Linked DNA regions of Saccharomyces cerevisiae S288C. Changing the gene in region 2 together with the main gene of any one other region gives a genetic interaction. Each region holds a gene or a part of one and is shown on either strand. Other genes may lie near its edges. The genes, in order: ALT1, GEP3, ALD6 and INA17.

Region 1 (8,434 bases), on a different chromosome or scaffold from region 2:
ACTTTCATAACTTAGAATCATAACAGATGGCGTGAATTTGTTTCCTAACAGTAGGGAACCGCGGCTAAATTTAAGCTCAATTGGTAAAAACATCAGTAGCTTTGGATGTTTGCCGATATCTGTTTCTTGGTAGTCCCTGTCATTAACAATTGATGCATCAGAGTTCGTTGTGTATGCAGATTCGCTTAGATCTTCATCTAATTTATCAGCACTACTTCCATCGCTAAAAGGTTCAGGAAAAGAATGCTCATTAAGGTATTTTTCAAATTTATCGCGTTCATCTTTTGATAGTAAGTTTATAACATTATCGTACGCCACTGTTCTGTTGTAAATAAAAATTTCTAGACCTTCACATTCTACGGAAATTTTACAGGGAAGCTTTGCTTTTTTGCCAGAAGAAGACTTGTTATTCTCTATCAATTCTGCTTTTCTGCAATTTAAAAGCCAGTATTTCCATGTTAAACTACCCTCTAATACCGAAATTGTATAATCTTTGTGTATTACGGAAAGGTTTTTAAAATGTATTCGACCACCTAGTAAGGAGACACGAAGTGTCTCAACATTTATCTTGATTTTCGCTCGTTTCCATAGTAGCCATTCTAATATAAAACTTACAAGGTATGCATAGATTCTTCCCATGTAGAATATCATTGTCAAACATACTACTACCGTGAGAATCCAATCTACTAAAAAGACCCAGCTAAAGTCCTTTTGGTGTGTCAATGGAACACCACGTAATTGTGAAATAGCTTCCATGCTTGCTAACTTATTACCGTCAATAGAAGACTTGAGTCAGGTGGCTTTAATGAGTACTATTCTTTTTTTTTTTCCAAAGAGCACTATGTTGATAATACCGCAGTAATTTTTTTTGAGTATCCTGTAGCCTAGAAAGGTTGAAGCTTATAAAACCGTGCCAACAGCTTTATAGTGGGGAGTTTGGCTTCCCTCTATTTGTATATTGATCGCCATCCCTACGAAGTTATTGGGAACGCATCGTGAACCTCTCACTTTAATGCCAGCGGTAGAAAAAAAAGTCATAAACAATACACGCCGGCTACACTTAGAAAGAAATGACATTTGCTGTCTTATAAAAGGACTTGACAGACCAAAGACGCGTATAATACACCAAGAATGGCCTTATTGGAGAAGTTGCATCGAAGGATTGTTGATATGGGGCTTGTCCCGCGTATAATCGCCTTATTACCAGTTATTTCCATGCTATGCGCTCTATTTGGGTTTATTTCTATAGCTATTCTGCCTATGGATGGACAGTACAGAAGAACATACATTTCTGAGAATGCATTGATGCCTTCACAAGCGTATAGTTACTTTAGAGAATCTGAATGGAACATTTTGAGGGGCTATCGATCTCAAATTAAAGAAATGGTAAACATGACTTCTATGGAAAGAAACAATTTGATGGGTTCTTGGTTACAAGAATTTGGTACTAAGACTGCTATTTACGAAAATGAACAATATGGAGAAACATTGTACGGTGTAATGCACGCTCCTAGGGGTGATGGAACAGAAGCGATGGTGCTTGCCGTTCCATGGTTTAATTCAGATGATGAATTCAATATTGGCGGCGCAGCTTTGGGTGTATCTTTAGCAAGATTTTTCTCACGTTGGCCAGTATGGTCCAAGAATATAATTGTTGTCTTCAGCGAAAATCCTCGTGCAGCATTAAGATCATGGGTTGAGGCATACCATACTTCCTTAGATTTGACTGGTGGTTCCATTGAAGCTGCTGTTGTGTTGGATTATTCGAGTACGGAAGATTTCTTCGAGTATGTAGAAATCTCATACGACGGTCTGAATGGTGAGCTGCCCAATTTGGATCTTGTCAACATCGCTATATCCATTACGGAACATGAAGGTATGAAAGTTTCTTTGCACGGTCTACCCAGTGATCAGTTAACTAATAATAATTTCTGGTCAAGATTAAAAATATTATGCCTGGGAATAAGGGATTGGGCGTTGTCCGGTGTTAAAAAGCCCCATGGTAACGAGGCATTTAGCGGCTGGAGGATTCAATCTGTAACATTGAAAGCACATGGAAACAGTGGTCATGATATTACTACATTTGGACGTATACCCGAAGCAATGTTTCGCTCTATTAATAACCTTTTGGAAAAATTTCACCAATCGTTCTTCTTTTATTTGTTATTAGCACCACGTCAGTTCGTATCCATTAGTAGTTATTTGCCAAGCGCTGTGGCTTTATCTATAGCATTCGCCATAAGTTCATTAAATGCATTTATAAACAATGCTTATGCAAATATATCCTTATTTTCCGAGTATAATTTGGTAGCGTTGTTGGTTTGGTTCGTGTCATTGGTGATATCATTTGTTGTTTCACAAGCGTTTCTTCTAATACCTTCATCGGGATTATTGATGACAATTAGCATGGCATCTTGTTTTTTACCTTTGATACTTTCCAGAAAAATTCACATCTCAGAACCACTATCATACAGGTTGAAAAATGTTGCTTTTTTATATTTCAGTTTGGTTTCAACATCTTTGCTAATGATAAACTTTGCAATGGCTTTACTGATCGGCACATTGGCATTTCCTATGACATTTGTGAAGACCATTGTTGAAAGTTCTAGCGAACATGAGGTGACAACTCAATCCTCTAACCCAATAAAAACTGAGCCGAAAGATGAGATAGAGCTCGTCGAGAATCACATGGATACAACGCCAGCAACCCCCCAACAACAGAAACAAAAACTAAAAAATTTAGTACTATTAATTTTGACAAATCCATTTATTTCAATAACCTTATTCGGACTATTTTTTGATGATGAATTTCATGGATTTGATATAATAAACAAACTGGTTTCAGCATGGTTGGATTTGAAATGTTGGAGTTGGTTTGTACTTTGTATAGGTTGGCTTCCATGTTGGCTATTGATATTAGCGTCATCGTTTGAATCTAAATCTGTCGTAGTAAGGTCGAAAGAAAAGCAAAGTTAGGTGCCATTGGTAAGAAGTAAAGGATTAACGGGTGTTCGAACTACGCAATTGATTTTATACGCACAAACATTACAAATCGAAGCAAAAGAAGATGAAATGATATGATATACTGATACAAATATGTATTAAATAAAACATAAGTATTGATGGAAACATGGCATAGAGAAGCGAAGATGCGATAATATCAAATAACTATATGTGAGTTGTGGAAGAAAGAAACGATCACATTATTATAATAAACTAGCTATTTAAATGTTTATTGAAGACTGTTCTGCCCCCTTTTATTCAGTCACGGTATTGGTCAAAAAATTCTTTATGGAAACTTTCCCATTTCTTAATCCATTCCAGACCAGGTGCCAAAAATGTTGTTCTTAAATGGTAAGTACCAGGTTCTTGACCAAACCCAGAACCGGGAACAGTGCAAATGCCAGTAGATTCTAACAACTTCTTACAATAAAATTCATCCGGAGTTAACTCTAAGTGGCGAGCTTCTTGAACTGCCTTGAAAGGTAAGTCTATCTTAGGGAATAAATACATGGCACCTTGAGGCTTTTGACATTCAATGCCTTCTAAAGAGTTAAATGTCTCATACAGTGTCATTGCTCTTGTAATTAACTTTTCATGGATGGAGTTACGTTCTGCTTGGTCCGACTCGAATGATTCCTCCCCTTCCACTGGTGGACGAACCATCAAATCAACCAAAGCTTGACCTGTGACAACGGGACACAATGAAATCGAGGCTAGTTTCAAGATAACTTGTCTCATCTCATGGCTGAATCCAGTGAGTTCCATGTAGCCACCCCTTTGACCACATTCACCAGAAACACCCTTAGAAGTCGAATGCAAAGAAGCTAGCTGAACATTATCGAATTTACCTGGATGTTCCCTCTGTAAATGTCTCAAAATTTTCTTCATAGAATGGAACTTGGTGCCCGGGAAGATATTTTCTTGATAAACTTCGTCAGCTATCACTACTGTACCGTACTTGGCTGCGACTTCAAAAATCTGAGCTATAGACTCAGGTGATAGGACAGCTCCTGTAGGATTACCTGGATTGATAACCACTAGAACTGTAGGTTTGATTTCGTTCTGTATAGCCTCTTTGACGACAGTTTCAATTTCTTCTGGATTAGTTGACCAACCTGAATTCTCATCTAAATAGTATGGTAAAGCTTGAGAATTGTTCAAAGCTAGAGTAGCGGTATATAATGGATATTGAGGAATTGGAATCAAGACACCCGTTTCTGGCCCTCTACAGAAAATTGATAACAAGTAATTGACAGCTGCGGATGCACCAGCAGTTAGGAAAATATCCTCTGGGTATGATATCTCGCCTTCGTCCCTCTTCGTTATAAATTCAGCGACACTTTTCCTTATACCTTCTACACCTTGAGAAGAAGAGTAAGCACCAACAGAACCACCGATATCTTCCATTAAACTCTTTGCACGTTTAATGGCATCTAGTTTAAACAATTTCGAATCAACTAGCTGCTGTTCGTTTTGGTTTAATAGTTCTGGGTATTGTAAGAGAGACAAGACCTGTCTGTAGTAAGTCAGAGGTTTCTGTTGTAGTTGCTGAGGATTACCAATATTGGCGTTGATAATCCTGTCAAATGGCAGAGATTGAGGATCCTTCTCCAGTTGAGCTTTCAATTCTTCAGCTCTCATTGGGATGGCACCTCTAACGGCGTACTTAGCCTTCAAGACATTTTCATTTACGTCTTCCAAAGTCAATTGTTCGGCGGGATAAAACTCGTTATTCGAAGTTTTCAACGTGTGGTGTGGAAAGCGATTCAAATGACGCAGGTCGTTTAGCGAAGATTGACCAGATAATGAACGTCTATGATTTTGAGCAACAATCCAGGAAGAGCTATGTCTCTGTAGGACGGGTCTAACTTTCCTGAAAGCTTTTAACTTTGTACTACTGGCTGAGGTAGAAAAAGGAGTAGTGATATGTGGCATTTTTTCTGCGCTTGAAGTGAGAGTCCTTATATGATATGACTTAATAACGTGAGTTATAGAATTACTCACTGTGAAGTGATTTTTGGCAGACAGTGATAACATCGTGGAGAGAGCAAAATAAAGACTGGGGAAATATATTTATATGCGTTCAATTGAGAAGCAGAAACAATTAAATGCGGGGGAGAAACAAAGAAGCTGGTCCTGTTCTCGAGCAACGTGTGACTAGTATGAACAACTAGAGTAAAATAGCGAGAAAGCAGTAGTAGTAACGGAAGAGCTTTTCCTAGTATGGTCCGCGGGTCACGATCGTTTACAAAGGGCGCAGCAAACTCTAAATACGTCAACCACAGCAGGTCAGAAGAGTACGTGAAGTTGTCTCAACGAAAGGTCGAAAATCGTTAGGCTTGGACCCCTTCAGAATGAAAAAAAAAAAAGACGCAAGAGTGAAAAAAAAACCAGTACTGTAAAAGCAGAAAACGTCTAATGGGAAGTGCTACTATGTAAGATTATATCATGAATGTGCTGTGTATTATATATGGATTATATAGCCACGAATATGCGGTAAATAAACATATGCATATATGTGTGTGGGGCAGCGCTCTGCTGTGCAATCCTTGTTTCTTTGTTTCTTGGGTCGGGATTTGAGTAGCGACGAGCCATCCTCTGCAGAAGGGAAGAAGAAAGAAAGGCAGAGAGGCAAAGAAAGAGTCAGGCTTATCTTATCTTAAGAGATATGCCGCTTGGACCCAAAAGAAAGGGAAAAGTAAGTACGCAGGTGTAGTTTTGAATGAGTGGCAGTGATAGAGGAGACCGGTTATACGATGTGTTGGGGGTGACGAGAGATGCGACCGTGCAAGAGATTAAAACTGCTTACAGAAAGCTTGCCCTGAAACATCATCCGGACAAGTATGTGGATCAAGACTCAAAGGAGGTAAATGAAATCAAATTCAAAGAGATCACTGCCGCTTACGAGATCTTGAGCGATCCGGAGAAGAAATCACATTACGACTTGTATGGTGATGATAATGGTGCCGCTAGCAGCGGTGGCGCTAATGGCTTTGGAGATGAAGATTTTATGAACTTCTTTAACAATTTCTTCAATAATGGAAGTCACGATGGAAATAATTTCCCTGGCGAGTATGATGCGTACGAAGAGGGCAACTCTACAAGCTCTAAGGATATCGATATCGATATATCTCTTACTTTGAAGGATTTGTACATGGGCAAGAAGCTGAAGTTTGATTTAAAGAGACAGGTCATCTGTATAAAGTGCCACGGTTCTGGCTGGAAACCAAAGAGGAAAATTCACGTTACACACGATGTGGAATGTGAATCATGCGCTGGAAAGGGTTCAAAGGAACGTCTGAAGAGGTTTGGTCCCGGTTTGGTAGCTTCGCAATGGGTGGTCTGTGAGAAATGTAATGGTAAGGGGAAGTACACTAAAAGACCCAAGAATCCAAAGAACTTTTGCCCCGATTGCGCAGGCTTGGGGCTCCTGTCAAAGAAGGAAATCATCACAGTGAACGTGGCTCCGGGACACCACTTTAACGACGTAATTACAGTCAAGGGGATGGCGGACGAGGAAATCGATAAGACCACATGTGGTGATTTAAAGTTCCATCTCACTGAAAAACAAGAAAACTTGGAGCAGAAGCAAATCTTTTTGAAGAACTTTGACGACGGCGCCGGGGAAGATTTGTATACAAGCATTACCATATCGTTAAGCGAGGCCTTGACGGGATTTGAGAAATTTTTGACAAAAACCTTCGACGACAGGTTACTAACATTGAGCGTTAAACCTGGCAGAGTAGTAAGACCTGGTGACACCATCAAAATCGCCAATGAAGGTTGGCCCATTTTAGATAACCCTCATGGCCGGTGCGGCGATCTGTATGTTTTCGTTCATATTGAATTTCCACCAGATAACTGGTTCAATGAAAAATCAGAACTACTAGCAATAAAAACGAATCTGCCGTCATCTTCATCTTGTGCCTCACATGCGACTGTAAATACTGAAGATGACAGCAACCTGACTAACAACGAAACTATATCAAATTTCCGGATCATTCACACGGACGATCTTCCAGAAGGGATAAGGCCGTTCAAGCCAGAAGCACAGGATTCAGCGCATCAGAAAGCAAGAAGTTCGTACTGCTGTATCCAATGATGGCATCAATAACTTTTTATTCTATTTTTTTTTTTTTTTCATAAGTTATCCTACCTGTATATATGTATATATATGAAATTCATTTACTGAATGCGGTGAAGAATGAAGTCTTTCGCACCTTCAGTAGAAAAATAGGAAGAATCCCCATCGCGGCGGACATAAAGCAAGCATACAAAGGCCTTCTATCAGAACAGCGATTGCGAACTTGGAGCAACAATGGCGTCCCAGGTTAACGCCTTATTACTGCCGGTCATAGAGTCTACGCCGCTTCATCAAATAACCAAGGTAGCATTGACGACCACACTCACAAGTAAACAAAGCGATTACAAGTTCAAAGAAATAGCCGTGCCGTTAACAAAATCACTACAACTGTACGAGAAGGCGCAAAGAAGACAAGATTTAAGGGCAAGCTTAAAAGCACTGGAGAGTATCATTTACCAAACGCACTTCCAATGGAATAACCCGCTCCCACGACATGCGCATCTCTTCCAAAAACACTACCACTTTCTACTGACTCACTGGCCATTTGAGAACCACAGAGACTTGGTAGATTCCATCGCTGTAAACAATGGGAAACTAAATTCAACGTCTTCAAGGAGCGTCTGGCTGAAGGCGGATTGGATAACACTGTTTAACGTTAAAAACCCTTGGGTCCAAACGCCGCCATCGTTAATGCGTCTGAGTGGGACAGATCTTGATACCTTCACACCAGAGAGGATATTCCTGATAAATTCTCTTGGAAACCACTACAAATTTTTAATAGCGAACAGTCATCTAAGCTACAATCACAAAAAATACCCCTCCCCTGGCGTGCAAATTCCTGTCAGGAACGCTCTTGGCGAAGTTTCTCCGGCCAAACAAATTGCCCAACTTTTCGCAAGACAGCTGTCTCATATTTACAAGAGCCTCTTCATAGAAAACCCCCCGCTCTCTCCTGAGAACGAGCTGGCATTGACTGCCGTCTTCTATGACGAGACTGTAGAGCGACGCCTTAGAAGGCTCTATATGCGAGCTTGTGCAAGGGCATATACGACTACTAATGCCGACTCCACCACGGAGCCTTTGATGTTTCATTGCACCCGGTGGGAAGTTGATTAGTTGTTGTTGGCTGTTATACTGGAGTAAATGTCACGTGCCACTGTGGCCGTGTCAGGTCACGTGAAGAGAGAAATTCGGCCACAGTTGTGGTCCTAAACAAGGACTGAAAAAGATCGCAGAAACTAGCAACGTCGGATAGCGGTATGGTTGAACCAAAGTCCAGTTTTTAGTCATAGCCGGTTGAGGGATGATCTGCCGTTCAGTGTTCTGCGTTCAATAATACGCATATAT
Region 2 (8,055 bases):
CCGCCTCATGAGTGTAGGCTTAGAGATATGACATACTCTGCACCAATCTACGTGGATATAGAATACACTAGAGGTAGAAACATTATTATGCATAAAGACGTGGAAATTGGTAGGATGCCGATCATGCTGAGATCTAATAAATGTATCCTATATGATGCTGATGAATCGAAAATGGCTAAATTAAACGAGTGTCCGTTGGATCCTGGTGGTTACTTTATTGTTAACGGTACCGAAAAAGTAATTCTTGTTCAAGAACAATTATCCAAGAATCGTATTATTGTGGAGGCAGATGAGAAGAAAGGCATTGTTCAGGCCTCCGTTACTTCATCTACCCATGAAAGAAAATCTAAGACTTATGTCATTACCAAAAATGGCAAGATCTATTTGAAGCACAATTCCATCGCTGAAGAAATTCCTATTGCTATTGTTCTCAAAGCCTGTGGTATTTTATCAGATTTAGAAATTATGCAATTGGTTTGCGGTAATGATAGTAGCTACCAAGATATTTTTGCAGTCAATTTGGAAGAATCTTCGAAATTAGATATTTACACACAACAGCAAGCTTTAGAGTATATTGGTGCAAAAGTAAAGACAATGAGAAGGCAAAAACTGACTATCCTGCAAGAGGGTATAGAGGCCATTGCTACCACGGTTATTGCACATTTGACTGTGGAAGCCCTTGACTTTAGAGAAAAGGCTTTATATATTGCCATGATGACGCGCAGGGTGGTGATGGCAATGTATAACCCTAAGATGATTGATGATAGAGATTATGTTGGTAATAAACGTCTTGAATTAGCAGGCCAATTGATTTCTTTATTGTTCGAAGATTTGTTCAAAAAGTTTAATAATGATTTTAAACTAAGCATTGATAAGGTCTTGAAAAAACCAAATAGGGCTATGGAATACGATGCATTATTGTCAATTAACGTCCATTCAAATAACATCACCAGCGGACTGAACAGAGCTATCTCAACCGGTAATTGGTCTCTTAAAAGATTTAAGATGGAAAGAGCGGGTGTTACACATGTTCTTTCCAGACTATCTTATATTTCCGCATTGGGTATGATGACAAGAATTTCTTCTCAGTTTGAAAAATCAAGAAAAGTTTCCGGTCCAAGAGCATTACAACCTTCTCAATTTGGTATGCTTTGTACTGCAGATACTCCAGAAGGTGAGGCGTGTGGTCTAGTGAAAAATTTAGCATTAATGACTCATATTACTACAGATGACGAAGAGGAACCTATAAAGAAATTATGTTATGTTCTTGGTGTAGAAGACATAACATTGATTGACAGTGCATCCTTGCATTTAAACTATGGTGTTTATTTGAATGGTACTTTAATTGGTTCAATCAGATTCCCAACAAAATTCGTTACTCAGTTCAGACATCTGAGAAGAACAGGTAAAGTGTCGGAGTTTATCTCAATTTATTCAAATTCTCACCAAATGGCAGTTCATATTGCAACAGATGGTGGTAGAATTTGTAGGCCATTAATCATTGTTTCTGATGGTCAATCTCGCGTGAAAGATATTCATTTACGCAAATTATTAGATGGTGAGTTAGATTTCGATGATTTTTTGAAACTCGGATTGGTGGAATATTTAGATGTCAATGAAGAAAACGATTCTTACATTGCATTGTATGAAAAAGATATAGTTCCCTCGATGACACATTTAGAAATCGAGCCATTCACAATTTTAGGTGCTGTTGCTGGTTTAATTCCATATCCACATCATAACCAATCCCCTCGTAACACATATCAATGTGCGATGGGTAAGCAAGCGATTGGTGCAATCGCCTACAATCAATTCAAGAGAATAGATACATTATTATACTTGATGACTTATCCACAACAGCCAATGGTGAAAACCAAAACAATTGAATTGATCGATTATGATAAATTACCTGCTGGTCAAAATGCTACGGTTGCTGTCATGTCCTATTCTGGTTATGATATTGAAGATGCTTTGGTTTTGAATAAGTCATCCATCGATAGAGGTTTCGGCCGTTGCGAAACACGTAGAAAGACAACCACTGTTTTGAAAAGATATGCGAACCATACCCAAGATATCATCGGTGGTATGAGAGTTGATGAAAATGGAGATCCTATCTGGCAACATCAATCTCTTGGTCCTGATGGTCTAGGTGAGGTGGGTATGAAGGTCCAAAGTGGACAAATTTATATAAATAAGTCAGTTCCAACTAACTCAGCAGACGCCCCAAACCCAAACAACGTAAACGTCCAAACTCAATATAGGGAAGCTCCGGTAATATATAGAGGTCCAGAACCTTCTCACATTGACCAAGTTATGATGTCTGTTTCGGATAACGATCAAGCTTTAATCAAAGTTTTGCTAAGACAAAACAGAAGGCCAGAATTAGGTGACAAATTTTCTTCTAGACATGGTCAAAAAGGTGTTTGTGGTATTATTGTAAAGCAAGAAGACATGCCCTTCAACGATCAAGGTATAGTTCCAGACATTATCATGAACCCTCACGGTTTTCCATCTCGTATGACTGTGGGTAAAATGATCGAACTGATATCGGGTAAAGCTGGTGTATTGAATGGTACATTGGAATATGGTACTTGTTTTGGTGGTTCTAAACTTGAAGATATGTCTAAGATTTTGGTAGACCAAGGTTTCAACTATTCCGGTAAGGATATGTTATATTCAGGTATAACAGGTGAGTGTTTACAGGCTTACATCTTTTTTGGCCCCATTTACTATCAAAAGTTAAAGCATATGGTCTTAGATAAGATGCATGCAAGAGCTCGTGGTCCAAGGGCTGTTTTGACACGTCAACCAACTGAGGGTAGATCTAGAGATGGTGGTCTGAGGTTGGGTGAGATGGAGAGGGATTGTGTAATCGCGTATGGTGCTTCACAATTGCTGTTAGAAAGGTTGATGATTAGTTCAGATGCTTTTGAAGTTGATGTCTGCGATAAATGTGGATTAATGGGCTATAGTGGTTGGTGTACTACCTGCAAAAGTGCTGAGAATATTATTAAGATGACTATTCCATATGCAGCAAAACTGTTATTCCAGGAATTATTATCCATGAACATAGCCCCAAGATTAAGATTGGAAGATATCTTCCAGCAGTAAGAAATCATATATCTTGTACTAAATTTTGCGTTATGTTAGCAATCATATCTATTTCGTGAGGAACTTTAAGAGAGTTGAACGATTTCGAAAATTATATAACAGTAAACCGTACTTCTTTCATTTTTGTACCTTGCTTTACATCATTACTTTTTATAAGATCCATCGAACGTTTGACGTGTTTTCTATCCATAAACCGGCCAAAATATAAAAATATCCAGCTGACAAGAGAAAGCTTGGAGTGCTCACATGTTAGCACATGTGAGCACAATGATATATACGCTTTAAAAAAGACTTTTCTTTATTTTACACATTTATAGACTTAACTATTGAATTCAAGACAAAAAATCAAATCTTGCTGAGTTGTTAAGCGTCTGACATTTCAACATCTTCGTTGTCATCATCACTTTCCAGACTGTTTAATAATTTTGCTTCTTCTGTTTCTCTTTCTTTGTCTTGTTCTTCCATACTTTCTCTCATTAATCTGGCCTTTTCTTCCTTAACTTCACGTTGTACTGCAACATAAGAACCTAAAGGTGTTTTATTCCAAGCTACATCATTCAAAAATCTTGAAACTTCAGATTTGTTTGTTGGCCCAAATTCAACATCTGATCTCTTTTCTTGGATGAATGTGCTGTTTTGGTTCAATTTTTCTACAACAGTTGATAAACGTTTGTTAAGTTTGACATTAGTTGAAGTCTTGATGTAACGGCGTAAAGAGATAATAACCGGTGTTACAAGTTCAGGAAATGCAATGTTTTTACAGTACAGAGCAAAATAATCGCCCAATAAGTCCACAAACTGTTCTGACAAACCCTCTTGGTATATTTTTGTATTCAGATAAGCTTGCGTACATTTGATGTTGTGCTCAAAATCGAAAGCAGCCAAGTTAGGGCTCTTTTTGGGTGCCTTAGTGAAAGCCGTTGAGGTTAAAATTTCAGAAAGTAAAGGATATATTGGAATAAAAACACCACTATTTTGAGAAAGTCTAATAAGTGATTTAATCAAATAAAATCTTAATGGGAAGAATTGTGGTGTTGGGATTAATCTGATTACACCCAAAGTAACCTGAACCAATGGGTAAATTAATTGTCGTAAAGGAGATTCACTGCCATTTTCCTTTTCTGGTTGACAAGCAAACGATAGTACACGAGACCAGAAATCCAAGGAGTGACAGAATTGCCAGTTGTATACAATCTTGTAAGCTTCTGCGGAATTAATTTTACTGGATTTTTTAGTTGTCGCGTTCATTGTATTTCTTAAATGAATTGCCAATTGCCTAATATACTCAAATCCAACTTGGTAACCTAGAACTTCATCGATACCGAACAATTCAGCTGCCGAATTTTTTTGAAAATTAATCAGTGGCATAGAACGCATATTCGTTTTACGACAACTTTTGATAAAAGTGGAGTACGTTGTTTTTAAGGTTGTTTCTAGCATAGACTTCTTGAACTCTTTGGTGGTATTGATCAAAAAGGCAAAAGAAGCAATCTGGGTTTCTAATTCTCTCGTTGTAGACCATACTCCAACAATTGATTTAATAAGCTCCTTTAAGATCCTTCTGTATGATAAAAGATAAGGCATCAATTCGTTGACAGAATGAAGAACTAATGCTGCTGTTTCCGTATTAGTAATATCATTCAATAAAATCAACAAAGAGCCAGCATGCGACTTGACAATGGACGAGACCCTGGAGACGTTACCTCCATTTGGTAAGGTCCTTGCGCCTTTTACAATCTTGTATGGGGCCATCTTTTGAATCGCTTGTGGTACATCTTTCAAGACCATGAACATCAATTCGTGGAATGCTTTCTCATCAGTGATAGCATATTTATAGTCTTCGATGTTTTCTTCCTTGTTCAAATTTACAGCAACCTTGAAAGCACTGATTATGTTCCTTAGTAATTTTAAGCTTGGAGAATCATGAAGTTGTTTTTTCCATTTCCTAACCAATTTCAAAGAAAGCTCAATTTTTTCCTTTTCCAGCTCCATTTGTTCAGATTTTTCTTCAATATTACTGTTTCTTTCAGCATCTTCACCTTCATCTTGACTATCAATTCCATCCAATGGATTGGTACCTGCGAAGTCCAATAAATCTTTATCATTTTCCTCCAAATACTTATAAAATTCGGGATCCTTTTCGGCCAACTTTGCCATGCTTTGTCCCATGTCTTCCTCCTCTTCGGAAGAGGAGGAATCTTCATCAGATTGCTCTTTCGTAGTTTTTTTCTTCAATTTTTTATTCTCTTTTGGAATTTCGATGCCCTTTTCAAAAAAAGTTTCGACAGACATGTCCTTAAAAACCTCTTCCTTTGCAGATTTTTTCAACTGCTGTTGTTCCCTAGTACCAGCAGCATCGGCCTTTTCCTGATCAGTTTTGTTGCCACGACGGCCTTGGATTCTCTTCTTTTGGATCTTTTCCTTTCTTCTTTGGTCTAGAGTATGCTTCAAATGCTTCGATTGAAACTTCTTGGTCGATTTAGAAACTTTACCCATCTCCACTTATTCTATTGTTGACCTTCTCTATCTCTCTTACAATTCAAAAATTAGTATAAATGAATTTACCCATGTACAAGTATTCTGTTTCTCTATTTTCTCTGTAAATATCATGCTCATCTCATCGGAAGAAAAAATTCAGAAAATTTTTCAAAACTCGTCGAAGATGATAACTACTATTTGATGTTATGGGTCAAGATACATTTAACAGAGCAATATTAACGAAGGACCTTCCTAGTAACACGTCTAATTACTTTGAACAATTCAATATGCGGGAATGTTGAATCTGTGTCATGCTCTTCGAGGCGTACGTCAGTTTTCCTGTTCTGTGATTGTGAAAGTGAAATGTGCGTCATGTTCCATAAAACTACAGGATCAGGATCCTAGTAAACCAGGATATTATACGAAGCCAAAAAGTCTACCCGACTCAAAACTAAATCCTGACCTCCAAGATCTGAAGTATTTGCTATTCAGTCAAGACATACAGCTCTCGAAACAGGCAACTCAAAATGATCCTGACCTCAAAACCAAAAGAGATTTACTATTGAGAGTGATTTGCAAAAGGTGCAGTAATGCCCTTCATCATAACAATTATAACCCGGAAGAGTTTCCCGAAAGCACATTAAATGATATTCTGAACTACGTCCCCAGAGGCTCAAATGTTATGCATATTGTCCCCTTTGTAGAATTTCCCTTACATTTAGACCCCAATGTTTTGAAACGAAATGATTTAGATACTACATTAGTGTTAACGAAAAGCGATCAAGTTTTTAAAGATAAAAATGCTGTCAGCAAAAAGGTTCCTATATTCATGAAGCAATTTTTAAAGAACACTTTAAGAATTGACTCAAATAAAACATTCGCCATATCTGCGCTGAAAAACTGGAACATATCCATGTTTTACAACTACTTTAAAAACTACACATATTTGCTAGGCAACCCTAATGTTGGTAAATCAACTTTGATCAATACTCTACTACAGAAATATCTTGGATATAAGGTTAAAATTGATTCTACTGGGAAAATTAACTCCCCCTCTGAAGAAGTGATGCAAGAAGCTTTTACGAACCCGAAGAATTTTTTCAAGATTCAAGCTGCTGGTGTATCACATATTCCCAATTTAACTAGATCCGTACAAGCCTACCAAGTTGGAGGTAAAATACTTTTTGATCTTCCAGGCTATTCAACTTCCACCTCCAGATTACGCCTAGAAGAACTAATCGACGAGCGTTGGCTTCAAAGGCTGCGAAAAACCGATTTATTCAATCGGAAGCATATAAAACAGAAGACTTATGAGTCTATGAAGGGCACATCACAGGGAGGCTGTTATACCGTGGGAGGGATTTTCTACCTGGTACCTCCGAAAGGATCCATAAATCAGATTGTGAAATACATACCAGGACCATCAAAAACATTCAAGAACATTGAAAAAGGTATTGATGTATTCAACTCGTGCAATTCATCATCTGGCACACATCCGTTATCACGGTATTGTGGAATTAAAAGCGTTATATGCGAAAAAAGCCAGTACAAAAGGTACGCAATACCTCCATTTATTGGAAGTATAGAGATCGTTCTGAAAGATATAGGATATATTTTATTAAGGACAACTGGGAGGTATGAGTTCAAAGGACTACATGAGATATGGATACCTAGGGGTATCCAAGTAGGTATAAGGGAACCGCTAGAAAACTTGATTGAGTCTGGCTACCAGCGTTACATTGAAACAAATGGTAAAGAGTCAAGCTGTCCCAGAGATAGACCGATCATCAGTTCCCTGTATGAGATGGCCCCGGATGAAGCTGATACTTTGAACGCAGTGAAGAAGTCGTATTTAGAAAAAACCGAGAAAGATTTATCTGCTAGAAGATTTGTCGACGATGATCCTTATGATTTGGTTCAACACCTAGAAAAAAAAAAGAATCCCTATTGGTACTACCAATGGTAAGACTCGCTGTTCACTTGGTTGCACCAATAAGTAGTAACGCACATGTAAATATGAATGTAAGTAAACTAAAAAGAAAGTTGGGAACAAAGTATATTCAAAAACGAATATACAGGAAATAAGCAATAGAAAGTATTATGAATTATACTGTTGATGTTTATTCTATCTACAAAACACAAATAAAGTAGAGTATAAGGCGAGTCAATAAAAAGGCCTCAACTCAAAAAAGGGAGAGAAAATGTAGGAAGGAAATGAATACTATTATACAATGGTACTGTGAACAGTAAGAATATTTTCGTAAGGTAAAAAGAAACAATAACAAACAAAAAAGGTCGAAAAAACTGTTCAAAATAAAGTCTCTATTCGAAGAAAACTGAAAAAGTGGAAGTGGAAATAAAAGATAATGTAAATAATCAGTCCAATGAATAGATCGGTTAAAGCAATTAAGCAAAAATAGTGGAAAATATAGTAAAAGTAGATAATAATTCCTTCATCTTTTCACT
Region 3 (7,931 bases), on a different chromosome or scaffold from region 2:
TCATAAATAGAATGGATAAAAAATACAACGAGGAATTGAAAAAGATTAGAAAAAGTTCAATTCCGCATATGTCAACTTATAAAATAGATCCTAAGAAAGACGTACTGCAAATGTCAGAAGAAGAGTTTAGACAAGGTGTTCTAAAGCTACAACAATTACTAGGTGAACTAAACTATGTCAGACACAAATGCAGATACGACATTAATTTTGCTGTTAAGAAAGTGGCTAGACTAGTAAATTACCCACATGAAAGAGTCTTTTATATGATTTACAAAATAATCCAGTACTTGGTTCGGTATAAAGATATTGGAATACACTATGACCGAGACTGTAATAAAGACAAGAAGGTTATTGCTATAACTGATGCATCAGTTGGATCAGAATATGATGCTCAATCAAGGATTGGAGTTATATTATGGTACGGTATGAATATTTTTAATGTTTATTCTAACAAGAGCACAAACAGATGTGTATCATCAACAGAAGCAGAGCTTCATGCCATTTATGAAGGCTATGCAGACTCAGAAACGTTGAAGGTAACATTAAAGGAGCTAGGAGAAGGAGACAATAATGACATTGTCATGATCACTGACTCAAAGCCAGCCATTCAAGGATTAAATCGCAGCTATCAACAACCAAAAGAGAAATTCACTTGGATAAAAACTGAAATAATAAAAGAAAAAATTAAAGAGAAGAGTATAAAACTGTTAAAAATTACCGGCAAAGGTAATATTGCTGATTTACTAACAAAACCAGTATCAGCATCTGATTTTAAAAGATTTATACAAGTATTAAAAAATAAAATAACATCACAGGATATTTTGGCCTCAACAGACTATTGATAATTAATTAATGAAGTTCTAAACACACAATGAATATCTGTTGAAGTACAATAATATATCTTTAAGGGAGCATGTTGGAACGAGAGTAATTAATAGTGACATGAGTTGCTATGGTAACAATCTAATGCTTACATCGTATATTAATGTACAACTCGTATACGTTTAAGTGTGATTGCGCCTATTGCAGAAGGAATGTTAAACGAGAAGCTCAGACAATACTGAAGCTGTGTTAAAGACCTATTAGTTGAACATGATATGGTAGGTACATATATGAGGAATATGAGTCGTCACATCAATGTATAGTAACTACCGGAACCACTATTATATTGGTCATGATTAATATGACCAATCGGCGTGTGTTTTATATACCTCTCTTATTTAGTATAAGAAGATCAGTACTCACTTCTTCATTAATACTAATTTTTTACCTCTAATTATCAACATTGATAATAAATTTGCTCATGTCATGGCCCACAAGTTTTTATCCCACAATGAAACATTTTATTATAGCTAAATACGTCATTCTAAACTTAAGAAACCATCTCTATGTGTGAAACGCATGAATTATATAAAATAACTACTGAAATATCTTTGTTACTGATGAGAAATAGATGAATCGTAGATAACTGTGAGGATTCCGTTGTTGTTAAAGACTATAATATCAGGTATACAGAAAATGTTAGAAGTTCTCTTCGAGAATATAGAAATCGACAAAAGGGGTCGGCAGTTTTACATAAATAATTTATGGAATAAATTCAACTATCGTCTATCAACTAGTAGTCATACTACCAGTATATTATCACATACAGTGTAAGAAGATAACATAAGGGATGAGAAACTGTCATCGAAGTTCGAGTAAGTTGAAATTCAACGATTAATGCAACGATTGATAATATAGCAGGATAATGAAACATATAAAACGGAAGGAGGAATAATAGTAATATTATTTGTAGAAAAATCGATTCCCCTTTGAAAATTTCTATATCCTCGAGGAGAACTTCTAGTATATTCTATATACCTAATATTATTGCCTTTATCAACAATTAAATCTCAACAATTATCTCAAAATTCATCAATTTCTCAATGATATCATTTTTTCTTCCTTCTTTTTATACTTTGTGATTCATTATCCTATTATATAATCAATCCTTTCATTTCACTTTCATTAAACTTGATGACTGTTTCTCAATCCTTATCTCATCTTCTTACACCGTATATGATAATATACTGCTAATATTTCTAGTAGTCAGCATGATATTTGATTTTCACCAATCAACCACAAGTCCTGACAGGAAGTTATTATTTAACCACATTACTGTTGCGTGGATAAGTGTTATTATTCTATTGCCTTAAAACTATACAACAAAAGCTCGTATGGCGCAGTGGTAGCGCAGCAGATTGCAAATCTGTTGGTCCTTAGTTCGATCCTGAGTGCGAGCTTTCTTTTTTTCCAAAGAATTTTAATTATATACGTTCGCCTGTACGGCTTTTTATATACTTAAAAAAGTGAAAGTTGTTCTTATTCATTTGAATGCGTATTAAAAAGATTGATTGACTCTTCGTGATAACTATTTCTTCAACAGTTCGTGAACGGAATCTGTTTTTATTTTACTCAATAATGTCATACGTTGTAATTTATGCAAATGTCTGATTCCCTTCGCATAGAGCCAAACAGTAGATATTAACCCCAAAATGGTGACAGTTAAATACGCATAATTACTTTCTTCTATGAAACTTTCCAGATTCATACCATAGATAGAACCCAGGAATAGAGCGCCTCCCAACGAAAGCATTCCTATGGCGTATCTTATCCCTAACAGCATTAATTCGTTTCTGTTAGAATCTAGGATTATATTGATGATTTCTTCTGTGGTTTTCACGTCAGATATGGCGCTTTCGCTTTTCTGAACTATTTCATCGACATAGTTATGATATGTTTCCAGAAGCATTTCAATTTCAGTATGATCATCTTGAACTCTAATTTTTCCAGCCTTTTTGTCGGTTAAGTACATATCACAAAGCATATCGTCTTGCTCTAGCAAGTCATCCAGCATATCTTTAACTAGAACAGCCTTTTTATTGAAGCTGCTCAATTTTTTGTTTTGACCCAGTAAGAACCTTAATTTATCTCTTGTTATACTAAATTCTAGATCTTGAAGCACCCCCTTGCATATGGTTAGCAACACCTTCATTTCACTGGTAAGGTTAGATAATGCCGAAATGAAGATCGTTTCTAAAGCTCTGAATTCATAAGGAAGTGGATCGCTATTTAGCTCGCTTGTTTCTTGATTTTTTAGTCTCAATTTCATATCGTTAATAAAATCCTTGTGAGCTTCTGAGTTTAAAGTTATTCCACTGCCGGCTGAATCGAAGATAATAACCATATCAGGCTTAATTAGGGCTTTCACAGTAAGTAAACTGATTAGTATGGAATTTTCTCGCACGAGCAAACTAGGGACTAAGTCATTCTTCCTTGATTTTTCAATTTTACGTAGATCTCTGGGCAACAAGCCATGTTTTGATACTAGATCCTCACGTTTTATCTCTACTAATGGTGATTTGGCTCGTCCAGTTGAGTCTAGCAAAGTACATCGTATTGTCCCTGATCCATACCCATAGAGCATGTTGTTTCTTTGGATCAAGTTTTTCTGTAGTAGCATTGCAGCGGTATTGTCAGGGTCCACCTTAGGCATTTGCCTAGAGAAATCAAAAGAAGAAAGTGATGAACCAAAAAGCCTTACTGTTCGAAGAAGGATGTTATTATATGATCTCTGATGGCGAAATGGCAGTACTCGGGGGAATGCTCTCATGTGTACCTTTTGATTGGAATTGGTTCGCAGTGTTTATGTTATATTAGCTCAATGTGCTCCCTGTATTTTATATATGAAACAAGTCTTTGTATTGCTATTTTTTTCAAACCTTTTTCTCAACTCTAAAAGCGGTCCACGTTAGTTTTCTTTGGATATAGCAGTTGTTGTACACTAGCTTAAGATGTAAAATTCAATTCAATATGATTTTGTGTGGGATGTTTTAAAGAAGGCACAAGCCTGTTCTCTCTTTTTCTCTTTTTTCATGGATTGTATCGCTTAAAAGGGAGAAATGAAGTAAACGATTCTTTTTGTAAAAATATAAAACCAAATTTTTTAATTTATATGTATACATATTTATTTATGACGTAAGACCAAGTAAGTTTATATGAAAGTATTTTGTGTATATGACGGAAAGAAATGCAGGTTGGTACATTACAACTTAATTCTGACAGCTTTTACTTCAGTGTATGCATGGTAGACTTCTTCACCCATTTCTCTACCGTAACCAGATTGCTTAACACCACCGAATGGAACTCTGGAGTCAAAATCGTTGTATGTGTTGATCCAGACGGTACCGGCCTTCAACATCTTGGCCACCTTCAAACCTGTGCTCAAAGATTCTGTTTCGATACCAGAACCTAGACCGAATTCAGAGCTGTTAGCCATTTCGACACCTTCTTCTAAAGTCTTGAACTTTGCGACAGTGACAACTGGTCCAAAAATTTCTTCCTTAACAATTCTCATGTCTTCATTAACATCGTAGAAAACGGTTGGTCTGATGAAGTAACCCTTGTCACCAACTTTTTCGCCACCAGTTAAGATCTTGGCGCCTTCTTTCTTACCGATATCGATGTAGTTCATAATTGTGTCGAATTGTTGACGGTTAGTGATAGCACCTTGGAAGTTAGCCTTGTCAAATGGATTACCAACTTTGATTTCGGTTTCCAAGTAAGCCTTGAAAGCAGCCAATAGTTCGTCGTAAATACCTTCTTGAACGTAAATTCTAGAACCAGAGGAACAAATTTGACCAGCGTTCTTGAAAATACCGTTTACTAGATTTGGTAAAGTCTTCTTAATGTTAGCATCGTCAAAGACCAAATGGGCGGACTTACCACCTAGTTCCAAAGTGATTTTCTTCAAGTTAGATTCAGAAGAGTCGACAGCAACACTCTTACCGACTTCTGTAGAACCGGTAAAAGCCAGCTTTCTGATTCTTGGGTCGTTGGTCAAAGCAGCACCAACAGTTCTACCAGGACCTGGAACGATGTTGACGACACCAGCTGGAATACCAACCTTCTTACATAAAGAAGCAAAGTATAGGGCATTTAAAGGTGTGACAGCAGCGGGTTTCAAGATACAGACGTTACCCATGGCCAATGCTGGGGCGATCTTCCAAGCCAACATCATTATTGGAAAGTTCCATGGAATAATTTGACCACAGACACCGATTGGCTCTAAGGTGGTGAAGTTCATGTAGCCGTCACCGGTGTTGATTGTTCTACCGTTGACTTTGTCGGCATAGGCAGCAGCATCTCTTAGACAGTTGATTGCAATGGTAACATCCCCACGGGCTAAGGCCAAAGTTTTACCATTGTCCAAAGCTTCAATGGAAGAAACCAAGTCAATTTGGCTTTCCAATTCGTCAGCCAACTTACTTAGTAGACGGCCTCTTTCTCTTGGGTCTTGGGTAGCCCATTCAGTGTCGTGGAAAGCACGGTCGGCACATTCGATAGCATATTCAACATCTTCAGTGGTGGCAGAAGAGACCTCACAAACGGTGTTTTCAGTGGAAGGATCTTCGACGGGATAGGTCTTACCGTCTTGAGCTTTCATAAACTTGTTGTTAATGAATAGACCGGTTGGTTGCTCGTATGTCAAACCATTTGGAAGTGTGATCTTGACTGGTTCAGCAGTGTCAAAGTGTAGCTTAGTCATTGTATTCTGATAGTATGTGTTTGTGTATGTTAAAGATGTTTCTTGATGTTTTTTCTTCTATAAAACAAGAGAAGTAAAAGACTGAACACTTCGAATTGAATATTACCAAACTTCTTATTACATTTATATATGATATCAAGAACTTGTTAAACACGCCAGGCTTGACCTCGAACGGTGTTTTGATGTGTTACTCAACCGTTAAATCGCTGTTTGAGCTGACTAACAAGGTTGCTTGTCTTGAATCCCCCTCACCCCGAATTTATTACGAATTTGCCCACATGGTCGGTGCTATATCGCATTCGTTGCACTCACCGTTCCCAAGAGGAGATCAATGTTACATACGTTCCCGATGCCCAAAACGGTAAAGTTAAAGCGATATAGAAGCTGGATGCATATCTTTTTACACGTCCGCGGCGCGCCCACCCTCTTTTTTCTTTCTGGTTCCTTTTCGGTCGTTTTTCTTTTGTCGGCTGCCTTATTCCCGTGGGGATGAGGCGAGCGCCGTTTCGGCTTGGATACGCCATATGCAACAATGACGTCTCGGTGCTGGCCATGCCCCTCATTTATGTCGAAAAACAGGCCACTGCCCCTCTTTTCTGCGGCCCGGGCAAGAGGAGACCTCATCAGCCACGGCGACGTGCTGGTTGCTTCTACAATGGTATCTTCACCTTTTACATAATCCAATTCTATCATGCCCTTACGTGAGGGGCAGTGTCGTATGTGACGGCAGTTCCTGACCTGATAGTGTGTCTATTTGTCTGTTAGCGTCCGCGGAAAGTTGTGAGTACGGTTTTTAGTTTAGTTTCCACCCGGGATTATACTTTTGGCTACCCTGACTGGAAGGCGGCGGCCTTATATTCGAATGAACATGCCAGGCATTGTACGAATTGAAACTTTTTTCGTATGACGTTACGAATAATTCCATTCGGCCTAAATATTCTTTTTTTTTGGATTTTTATGCTAGTGAAGGAATATGAGATATGCAAAGCGCATCAGATCATTAGGTGTGTCTACATCGTTAAAATTTAACATAGAAAAAATAAATAGGCGTGTTTGTACGTAGTATGGTGATGTTAGGAGGTGCAGTGGTAGTAAGTTAGCAATATACATAAGTTTTATTCACATGACAGTAACAAAATGAGGGTGTGGGGAGTGTACAGGTACATTTACATACACACATAGATACGTAGATACATGAGAAGAGGGTTTACATGAAAATTATTTGGATTCAGCAATCTTCTTCTTTTTCTTTTCCTCTTCAAATAAGGCGTCTACCTCCTTCTGCTTCTCCAATTGTATTTTCATTTGTTCTTCTGGCGAAGGCAAGTTACCTTCAACATAGTCTTTCAGCGTAAATGTTTGCCCGCCCATTTGCTCCTGCTGTATTCTAATTTTTTCCTTTTCTTCCTCAATCATCTTCATGAACATTAAATAGTTCTTTTGTCCTTCTTCATGAATCAAATCGAGCGGGAACTTGGTGCTGCCGCCCAGGGAATTTCCGAGACCTAGTGCCGTCATTGCCCAGTTGCCACCAGATTTATGATCTCCGTAAAATTTATCCTTCAATTTTTTCACACGATGATCAAATTCTTCTGCTAGGTTCTTCTTGTCTTCAAAGCTGTTCAAGATTGGTCTAACATCCTTGGTTTGTTGAGTGGCAAGGTACTCCAAAAATGGAATCAATCTTACTAATTTGTCATCAGCTTCACCATTCCATGGCTCCATTGGAATAGCATTTTCAGGTTGCAATTTGTAACTGTTAGGGTCAGTGTCAATAATGATTACTTTACTCAAATCTCTATTCAATTTTGACAGATCCTTAATGTGCACACCGTCTTTGTAAACACAGTGTTCCTTGAACAAATTATAAGATACGAATGCATGGATTGGATCTAATTTTTCAGCGATTTTGTCAGAGTACATCATATAGTTGGATGAAAACAAAACAATTTCGTAATACTGCGATAGGTAACCCAAGAAGTAGTCAGCACCAGGTCTTTTGGCCGTTCTCCAACCATGCTTTTGAGACCACTCAGAATGAACCAAAAAATCTTCCAATGTGATAACAAGAGTTAATGGCCTTTGGTACGGTGGTGGTGGTGGTGGAGGTAGTAAATCAGGGAAAGGTGGCTCTTGGAAGTAGGTGAACATTGAGTTGAACCTGGCCTTGAATCTTTTATACATAAGTGATAAAGTGTAGCCATTATCGATGTCTTTCTTCAATTCTTCAGACTCTTGAGGCTCCCAATCCCTTGCCATGTAGATTGCAGTACCTGTCAACGCAGACAACGAAAAAATGTAAAACCAGTTAGCATACTTTTCTCTTTTAATATCTGTAGAAGTT
Region 4 (7,129 bases), on a different chromosome or scaffold from region 2:
CATGAGACGCGGCTCCTATTATGTGTCTCTGGGTGCCTTCGGCATCTTAGCAGGCTTCTTTGCTGTCGCTATCCTGAGATTGATATTATATGTTTTGTCATTAATTGTCTACAAAGATGTTGGTGGGTTCTGGATCTTTCCCAACCTGTTCGAAGATTGCGGTGTACTAGAGAGTTTTAAGCCACTTTACGGTTTTGGTGAGAAGGATACTTATAGTTACAAAAAGAAACTGAAAAGAATGAAGAAGAAACAAGCCAAGAGAGAAAGCAATAAGAAGAAAGCCATCAATGAAAAAGCCGAACAAAACTGAACTTCCATTATCCTGTATAGCTCTACTGTATAAACCTTCTATATTGTAACCTCATGAACTCGCACATGTACAAACCTTCAAGAGAACCGGCACCAAAGCGCTACCATCTGGTTGCTTCATCGCTTATAGTGAGTAGTTTTAGATTTGAAGGTTATCGCTCCTGGCAAAAATCTGAATCCACACACCGCATAATTAGCGGTTATTATTACTCAATTTCCGGCCGGCTTTAATATACTTTCACCGAAAGGTCTCTATATAGAAGCTATTTGCTGACACTTGCTTACAGGAATCGATTATATAAGAAGGGTTCTGCATCTGGTTGCCTACTTAGTTTTCGGTATTTTTGAAGATTAGCAAAAAGATCAAGATATCAAGTATTTTCATATTTGTCATTTTAATGTTTCGCTCGGGTTACTATCCAACTGTCACTCCTAGCCATTGGGGCTATAACGGCACCGTCAAACATGTACTGGGAGAGAAAGGAACCAAGTCTTTGGCTTTCAGAGATTCTAAGCGCCAAATTCCTCTTCATGAATTCGTAACCAAACACGTGCCTACACTCAAAGATGGTGCAAATTTTAGGTTAAACAGCTTGCTTTTCACAGGTTACTTACAGACCCTTTATTTGTCAGCCGGTGATTTTTCCAAAAAATTTCAGGTATTTTATGGAAGAGAGATTATAAAATTTTCTGATGGAGGGGTCTGCACTGCAGATTGGGTTATGCCTGAATGGGAGCAAACATATTCATTAAATGCTGAAAAGGCTAGTTTTAACGAGAAACAATTTTCGAACGATGAAAAGGCCACCCATCCAAAGGGTTGGCCTCGTCTTCACCCGAGAACTAGATATCTATCCTCTGAGGAACTTGAAAAATGTCATTCTAAGGGTTATTCTTACCCTTTAGTGGTAGTACTTCATGGTCTTGCAGGGGGAAGCCATGAGCCTCTCATCAGGGCATTATCTGAAGATCTATCAAAAGTCGGTGACGGTAAATTCCAAGTGGTAGTCCTTAATGCTAGAGGTTGCTCAAGATCTAAAGTCACCACCCGTAGAATCTTTACCGCATTACACACAGGTGATGTGAGAGAATTTTTGAACCACCAAAAAGCTCTATTTCCGCAAAGAAAAATATATGCAGTCGGAACATCATTTGGAGCAGCCATGCTAACGAACTACTTAGGTGAAGAAGGAGATAACTGTCCATTAAATGCTGCAGTCGCTCTCTCAAACCCATGGGATTTCGTACACACTTGGGACAAGTTGGCTCATGATTGGTGGTCCAACCATATTTTTTCTAGAACTTTAACACAATTTCTAACAAGGACTGTCAAGGTTAATATGAATGAGTTGCAGGTACCAGAGAATTTTGAGGTTTCGCACAAACCGACAGTTGAGAAACCAGTCTTTTATACGTATACCAGAGAAAATTTGGAAAAGGCTGAAAAATTTACAGACATATTAGAATTCGATAATCTTTTCACTGCCCCATCGATGGGCCTGCCGGACGGGTTAACATATTATAGAAAGGCCAGTTCGATAAATAGATTGCCTAATATCAAAATCCCAACTTTAATAATCAACGCAACGGATGATCCAGTTACAGGTGAAAACGTAATTCCGTACAAACAAGCTAGAGAAAATCCTTGTGTGTTGTTATGCGAGACTGACTTGGGTGGACATTTGGCTTATCTCGACAATGAAAGTAATTCCTGGTTAACAAAGCAAGCTGCCGAGTTCTTGGGCAGCTTTGATGAGTTAGTTTTATAAATATGTTCTTAGATAAAATTCCTTACACATAATAATCTGTTCTTTTATTTCTCTATTTACCATCCTCCCCACGCTGTGCTTTCCAATCCGCCGATCCACTTTCTCTACCACGATTAGATGATTTCGAAGCGGCACTGACGCTTTCGGATTTCGTTTCTTGTGTCTTTCCTCTAATCAGCTCTATCTGTTCCTGCTCATCGCGACATGCAAGTTGGTATATCTCGTCATCATTTAACGAATACCTCAACCTCTTCGTTATAAATTGACAAAGGAATTTTAAATCTTCTTCCTTGATTTGATCTCTGGGCAGCTCGTTTTGGAGGATATAGCGTTTACTAACGTCAACAACGCCATCTTTACCGAACGCAATACAGTAACTCATTTTCTTGTTCCAGTTAATTGAATAGATATATGGTTGGTCGAATGATTGCTCACAGGAGTCGACATGAACCCACCTATTCAAAAAATTTGAAAAATATTCACACCAAACATGATCTTCTCTATTCCAGACGTAGCGAACATCTAACCCAAACGACTTCAAAATCAAAGTAAATAAATTGCACCATTCACCGCATCTTCCCTTTCTAGTTTCCAGCAACTTAATTGGATCGTTATAACGAGGAAATCTAGTGATATTTCCGCATCGGTTGCATTTATAGATCTCAACAGTTCCGCAATTGAATTTAGATTCCTCTCCATTGGGCCCTTGACTGCCCAGAGGTGTCATATTTTCTGAAGTGTTCTGGCCACAATGATTACAATCTGGTTTATTGCACCATTTGAAAAAATCTTGTTTGAAGTAGCGAAGCAGCTCCTTTACTAGATAATCCGTGTATATATTTTCCCCCTCTGCATGCCCATCTTTGGCAAATTCCTTATCAACATTTTTATATATTAGATCCAGATCCAATGTCTCCAGGACTATAGAATGCCATGAAGGATTGTCATAGACTGTACAGAGATGTTGACTCTGACCTAGGACTCCTTGTGCGAATTGATTTGTATGGACTAAATTCTGAAACCTTATATTCTCTACAGGTGCAGCTTTCTTGAATTTAGACAGTATGAAATCCTTATACTTAATTAACAACATTTTGGCTATTGAATCAAAATCTATGTTATTTTTTTCGTATACCTCTCCCATTGCTACTCCACCTGTTACCTTCTTCAGGTTGTTTTACGTCTTCTATATCTGTTCCCAACGCATCCTTTTTTCTTCGCTACAATACAAGGAAGATTACACTACGCAAAGTTTCGAAAACATCAAGAAGCATAGAACAGTTGAAACTAGGCAACAGGACTGTTTCAATTACATGATTGAGAATTTATAAGCGCATGAGACCACGTGACCAAGGCTTTTTGGTTTTAGGGTTTACTTACTCGGTACTCCTAATTAGTCTTGCTACATTTTACTGGTTACGCAACAATGACTCTTTCCTGCACTACTGGTGTGTATTACTGCTATGCCCTGCGACTCTCTGGCTGTGGGCCCTCATAGCCTGGTGTGACAGTGAAATGTTCGCAAGTAGTAAAGATGAATAATCGTTTATAATCTTATTTACAAGTCAGTGCATAAAATGATATAATATCACCTCACGCATGCCTATTTTATACATGTACTTTATATACCTCCCTTTTTTTTAACGCATTTCTATTATAAAACACTTCTGCTTTCCTATCCTCAAGATCAGTACTCGATCATCTATCAGGAAAGGAGCCAAGTTAGAAATATTTTCGTTTACTTTAGATTTTGAATGATGCAGATACACGCTTCCCTGGGAAAGTTTTCTTCTGGCTTCTGATACTGAACAATTTACTAGTTTACAAATTAACTTTATTAAGTCAATCTCTCTATCAGCATACTGCAAAATTCTGGCTTTTTTACATAGATCAACTAACTTCGCAGCAGATAAAGTTCCGTCATAACGTCCAAAAATAATATTAGAAAGCGCTTCTGAATCCGATCCGGAGCCAACTCCATATAACATATCTGTGACTTCTTTAGCCAATAAAGTTTGGCCATAACGTAGACTGGGTGATTTGATATGCGTTTCCACAATTTTTTTGATTTCACTTGAGTTTAAAAACGTAAAGATCTTCAAGAACTTGGGTACATCAGCATCCAAAGTATTATAAAAGAACTGGTAAACATCATACGCCGTATTGATTGAGGGGTCAATAAAAACAGCATTGCCTGCACTTTTCCCAAATTTCTCTCCTGTAGCCGTCGTCAACAAGGGCACAGTGATACCAAATGGCAAACCCTTATTCTTTATAGGCTGTATCCTATTGATGAGATCGATACCGGCTGTTATATTTCCCCATTGGTCGTTACCACCTACTTGTATAGTCACATTCTCTTCCTTATACAAATGGTAAAAATCGTACGCTTGTAAAACTTGGTAAGTAAATTCGTTAAATCCCAGACCATTTTTGGTTTGAAGCCTCGAAGAAATTGAATCCCTCGCCAACATAGATTGTACCCGAATGTGCCTACCAAAATCAGCTAAGAAATCCAACATTTTGATGTCTTTCCACCAGTTGAAATTATTCCTTGGTGTATATTTTCCGGAAGGTACATCTTCAGTGAGAGCACATCGGTTTCTGTAATATTCTAGGCCATTTTTGAAAAACCTTTGTAATTGCTGCGAGATGGATGCCACATTGCTTTGCCTAATATCGTTCTCCATAACGTCTCTTTCTGTTTTCCTACCACTTGGGTCCCCAACTTTCCCTGTAGCTCCACCTATCACAGTGACAATGTCGTGACCTTTTACGTAAAAGTGTAATAAAACCATTAGTGGAACTAGATTTCCCAAATGAAGTGACTGAGCTGTGGGATCCACCCCGCAGTATAATTTGATCTTATCGTTACCGTTCAACTTCGTCCGAAGGAAACTCTCTGGCTGTGAGACCTGGGACACTAGACCCCTTTGTTTGAGTTCGTCTAAAATATTATCGCTTCGAGAATCCGATGTGCCCTGTACTTCTAAAGCACTAGGCTGTGAATAAAATCGAGATTTAGGCAATGTTATTGCACTTAGTCCGGAATAAGTCACCAGAGGCACAAGTCTCCTACTACTATTGACCAAATTACTACAACTTCGTAATTCGAGCATGATTCACAATGTCTACCTGTAGATTGCTGTGTTCAATCGGAAACTGGAAATTCTTTCTTAACATTATGAGCCAACCACTTTTTATTTTCTTTTCAAAACTCCCGAACAAGACCAACATTACCAAACAGACTCCACTACTTTTCCATAAGAAGGAAGCACAGAACACCACACAAGATCATATAGCACAAATAGCGCAACAGCTTCAAGTCCAATATTAAGATATAATGCCTCCTCTTCCACAAAATTATGCGCAACAGCAGCCTTCGAATTGGGACAAATTCAAAATGGGGTTGATGATGGGTACTACCGTCGGTGTCTGCACAGGCATCCTATTTGGTGGATTTGCCATCGCAACTCAAGGCCCAGGTCCTGATGGTGTAGTTAGAACACTAGGGAAATACATTGCTGGTTCAGCGGGTACCTTTGGGCTATTTATGTCCATCGGGTCTATAATCAGAAGTGATAGTGAAAGTAGTCCAATGTCCCATCCTAACCTGAACCTACAGCAACAGGCAAGACTGGAAATGTGGAAGCTTCGTGCCAAATACGGTATACGTAAGGACTGAGGGGGAAATTTTGCATATATTTACGCTTCCCCATCGTTTTCTTAAACATTGTTACTTATCTGCTTATTTTTATTTAAGATATCTATCTACCTGTTTATAACTCTCTCAATACCATGTATTTAAGTTCATCACGACGAGGCTTATTTACTTAATATATTTGTATACGTGGGAAATGTCTAATATGTATACCGGTTTGCATCTTATTTTGGGTGGGGTCACTAACGGCAAGACTCATAAAATAAAGTATTCGCTAAGCACTCTGTTATATTTGTAAACTTTGAGAAAGGAAATGGGAACCAAAGCATATAATAGACAATATGTTAAAAAGACGCTCTAATGCTCTCATTACTTTGAGTAGAACTAAATTGTTTCCCATAACAACCGTTGCCTATTACCACAGGCGCCTCCTCAACCAACAACGAAGAGCTGTTTCAACGTCACCGAAGAAAGAAATCAAGAGCCTAGAAGACTTGGCTAATTTGGATTCTTTGGATGGTGTTGATACTGAACTGATACGCGATTTGATTAATGAGCATACTACAAAATTAAATATCAAAAAGGAGTTAGATATGCTCAAAAAATTCTCGCAAGAGGAAGAATCAGGACATGAGATCCCTGTAAAAAGATTTATTAGGCCTCTTTGGATGTTCATTCTAATGGGATCTTCCGTTTATTTACTGCTTCACTTCTCTTGGTGGAAACTAGAGCATGAGGAGAGAGAAAGTCAGCTAAAGAAAGAGGTAGAAATCCTGGAACACCAATTAAATGAGTTAATTGTACAGGATAAAACCCACAATACTAGTAGGGGAAAGGGCAGTAATGAATCAACACATATGAAGCCTTGGTATAGGAGATGGTTTTGGTGAGAATTAGTTATCTTGTTGGCTTTTCGTGTTTCTAGAATGTACCATTGCCTATGTAAATATTTTCAAATTGCTTGTTTTGAAGATTTCTACCCTCTTTAGCAATTCACACGTGAATACGTACAATATCTATTAAGATTATGAAAACTGCACATATGCATTATGTAAATTTATTATTTTTAGTCAGCACACATTCACCAGGTTTTGACGGAATACTATATATACTGAAGGTTCCATCATCAGAGGCAATATAGACTTGGTTGGGAAATTCGTCTGGAAACCCTAAGCAACTCCTGTTCGATTCATTAACTGTTATATAAGCAAAGTTACGGCTCAGGTTCTGGTTTGGTATTGAAGATTTTATTTTTTTCGAGAAGTAATTCGCAATTCTTGGTTTCGAGAGAGGTATTTCCTTTGGAGTTCCCATACTGGGATTTGAATTTGATGCTAGTATATATTCCTCTTCATTCCAGTGGCCATTGCTAGAATTATCTCCAGGGAGG

What was found.
Region 1: mutations in GEP3 (region 2) and ALT1 together harm fitness less than expected from each alone (positive genetic interaction), as found in Saccharomyces cerevisiae (2 studies listed by BioGRID).
Region 3: mutations in GEP3 (region 2) and ALD6 together harm fitness more than expected from each alone (negative genetic interaction), as found in Saccharomyces cerevisiae (2 studies listed by BioGRID).
Region 4: mutations in GEP3 (region 2) and INA17 together harm fitness more than expected from each alone (negative genetic interaction), as found in Saccharomyces cerevisiae (2 studies listed by BioGRID).

The regions. Positions count from the first base shown.
Region 1 is NC_001144.5:314,976-323,409, forward strand, and holds ALT1 (alanine transaminase ALT1), read right to left. Parts: upstream 5,041-8,434; coding exon 3,262-5,040; downstream 1-3,261. Other genes in the region: CSF1 (Csf1p), read right to left, coding at 1-756; GPI-anchor transamidase subunit GAA1, read left to right, coding at 1,132-2,976; XDJ1 (Xdj1p), read left to right, coding at 5,726-7,105; GEP5 (Gep5p), read left to right, coding at 7,322-8,203. UniProt on the Saccharomyces cerevisiae protein: Alanine aminotransferase involved in both alanine biosynthesis and utilization. Under respiratory conditions, constitutes the sole pathway for alanine biosynthesis and catabolism.
Region 2 is NC_001147.6:725,064-733,118, reverse strand, and holds GEP3 (Gep3p), read left to right. Parts: upstream 1-5,884; coding exon 5,885-7,555; downstream 7,556-8,055. Other genes in the region: DNA-directed RNA polymerase III core subunit RET1, read left to right, coding at 1-3,111; mRNA-binding ribosome synthesis protein NOC2, read right to left, coding at 3,475-5,607. UniProt on the Saccharomyces cerevisiae protein: Interacts genetically with prohibitins and thus may be involved in the mitochondrial lipid metabolism.
Region 3 is NC_001148.4:430,244-438,174, reverse strand, and holds ALD6 (aldehyde dehydrogenase (NADP(+)) ALD6), read right to left. Parts: upstream 5,588-7,931; coding exon 4,085-5,587; downstream 1-4,084. Other genes in the region: MFM1 (Mfm1p), read right to left, coding at 2,411-3,652; YPL062W (uncharacterized protein), read right to left, coding at 5,876-6,280; protein translocase subunit TIM50, read right to left, coding at 6,806-7,931.
Region 4 is NC_001148.4:363,020-370,148, reverse strand, and holds INA17 (Ina17p), read left to right. Parts: upstream 1-6,080; coding exon 6,081-6,629; downstream 6,630-7,129. Other genes in the region: Sec63 complex subunit SEC62, read left to right, coding at 1-310; EEB1 (medium-chain fatty acid ethyl ester synthase/esterase), read left to right, coding at 708-2,078; PNG1 (peptide-N4-(N-acetyl-beta-glucosaminyl)asparagine amidase), read right to left, coding at 2,131-3,222; ERI1 (Eri1p), read left to right, coding at 3,414-3,620; tyrosine--tRNA ligase MSY1, read right to left, coding at 3,719-5,197; MGR2 (Mgr2p), read left to right, coding at 5,422-5,763; ATG21 (Atg21p), read right to left, coding at 6,787-7,129. UniProt on the Saccharomyces cerevisiae protein: Component of the INA complex (INAC) that promotes the biogenesis of mitochondrial F(1)F(0)-ATP synthase. INAC facilitates the assembly of the peripheral stalk and promotes the assembly of the catalytic F(1)-domain with the membrane-embedded F(0)-domain.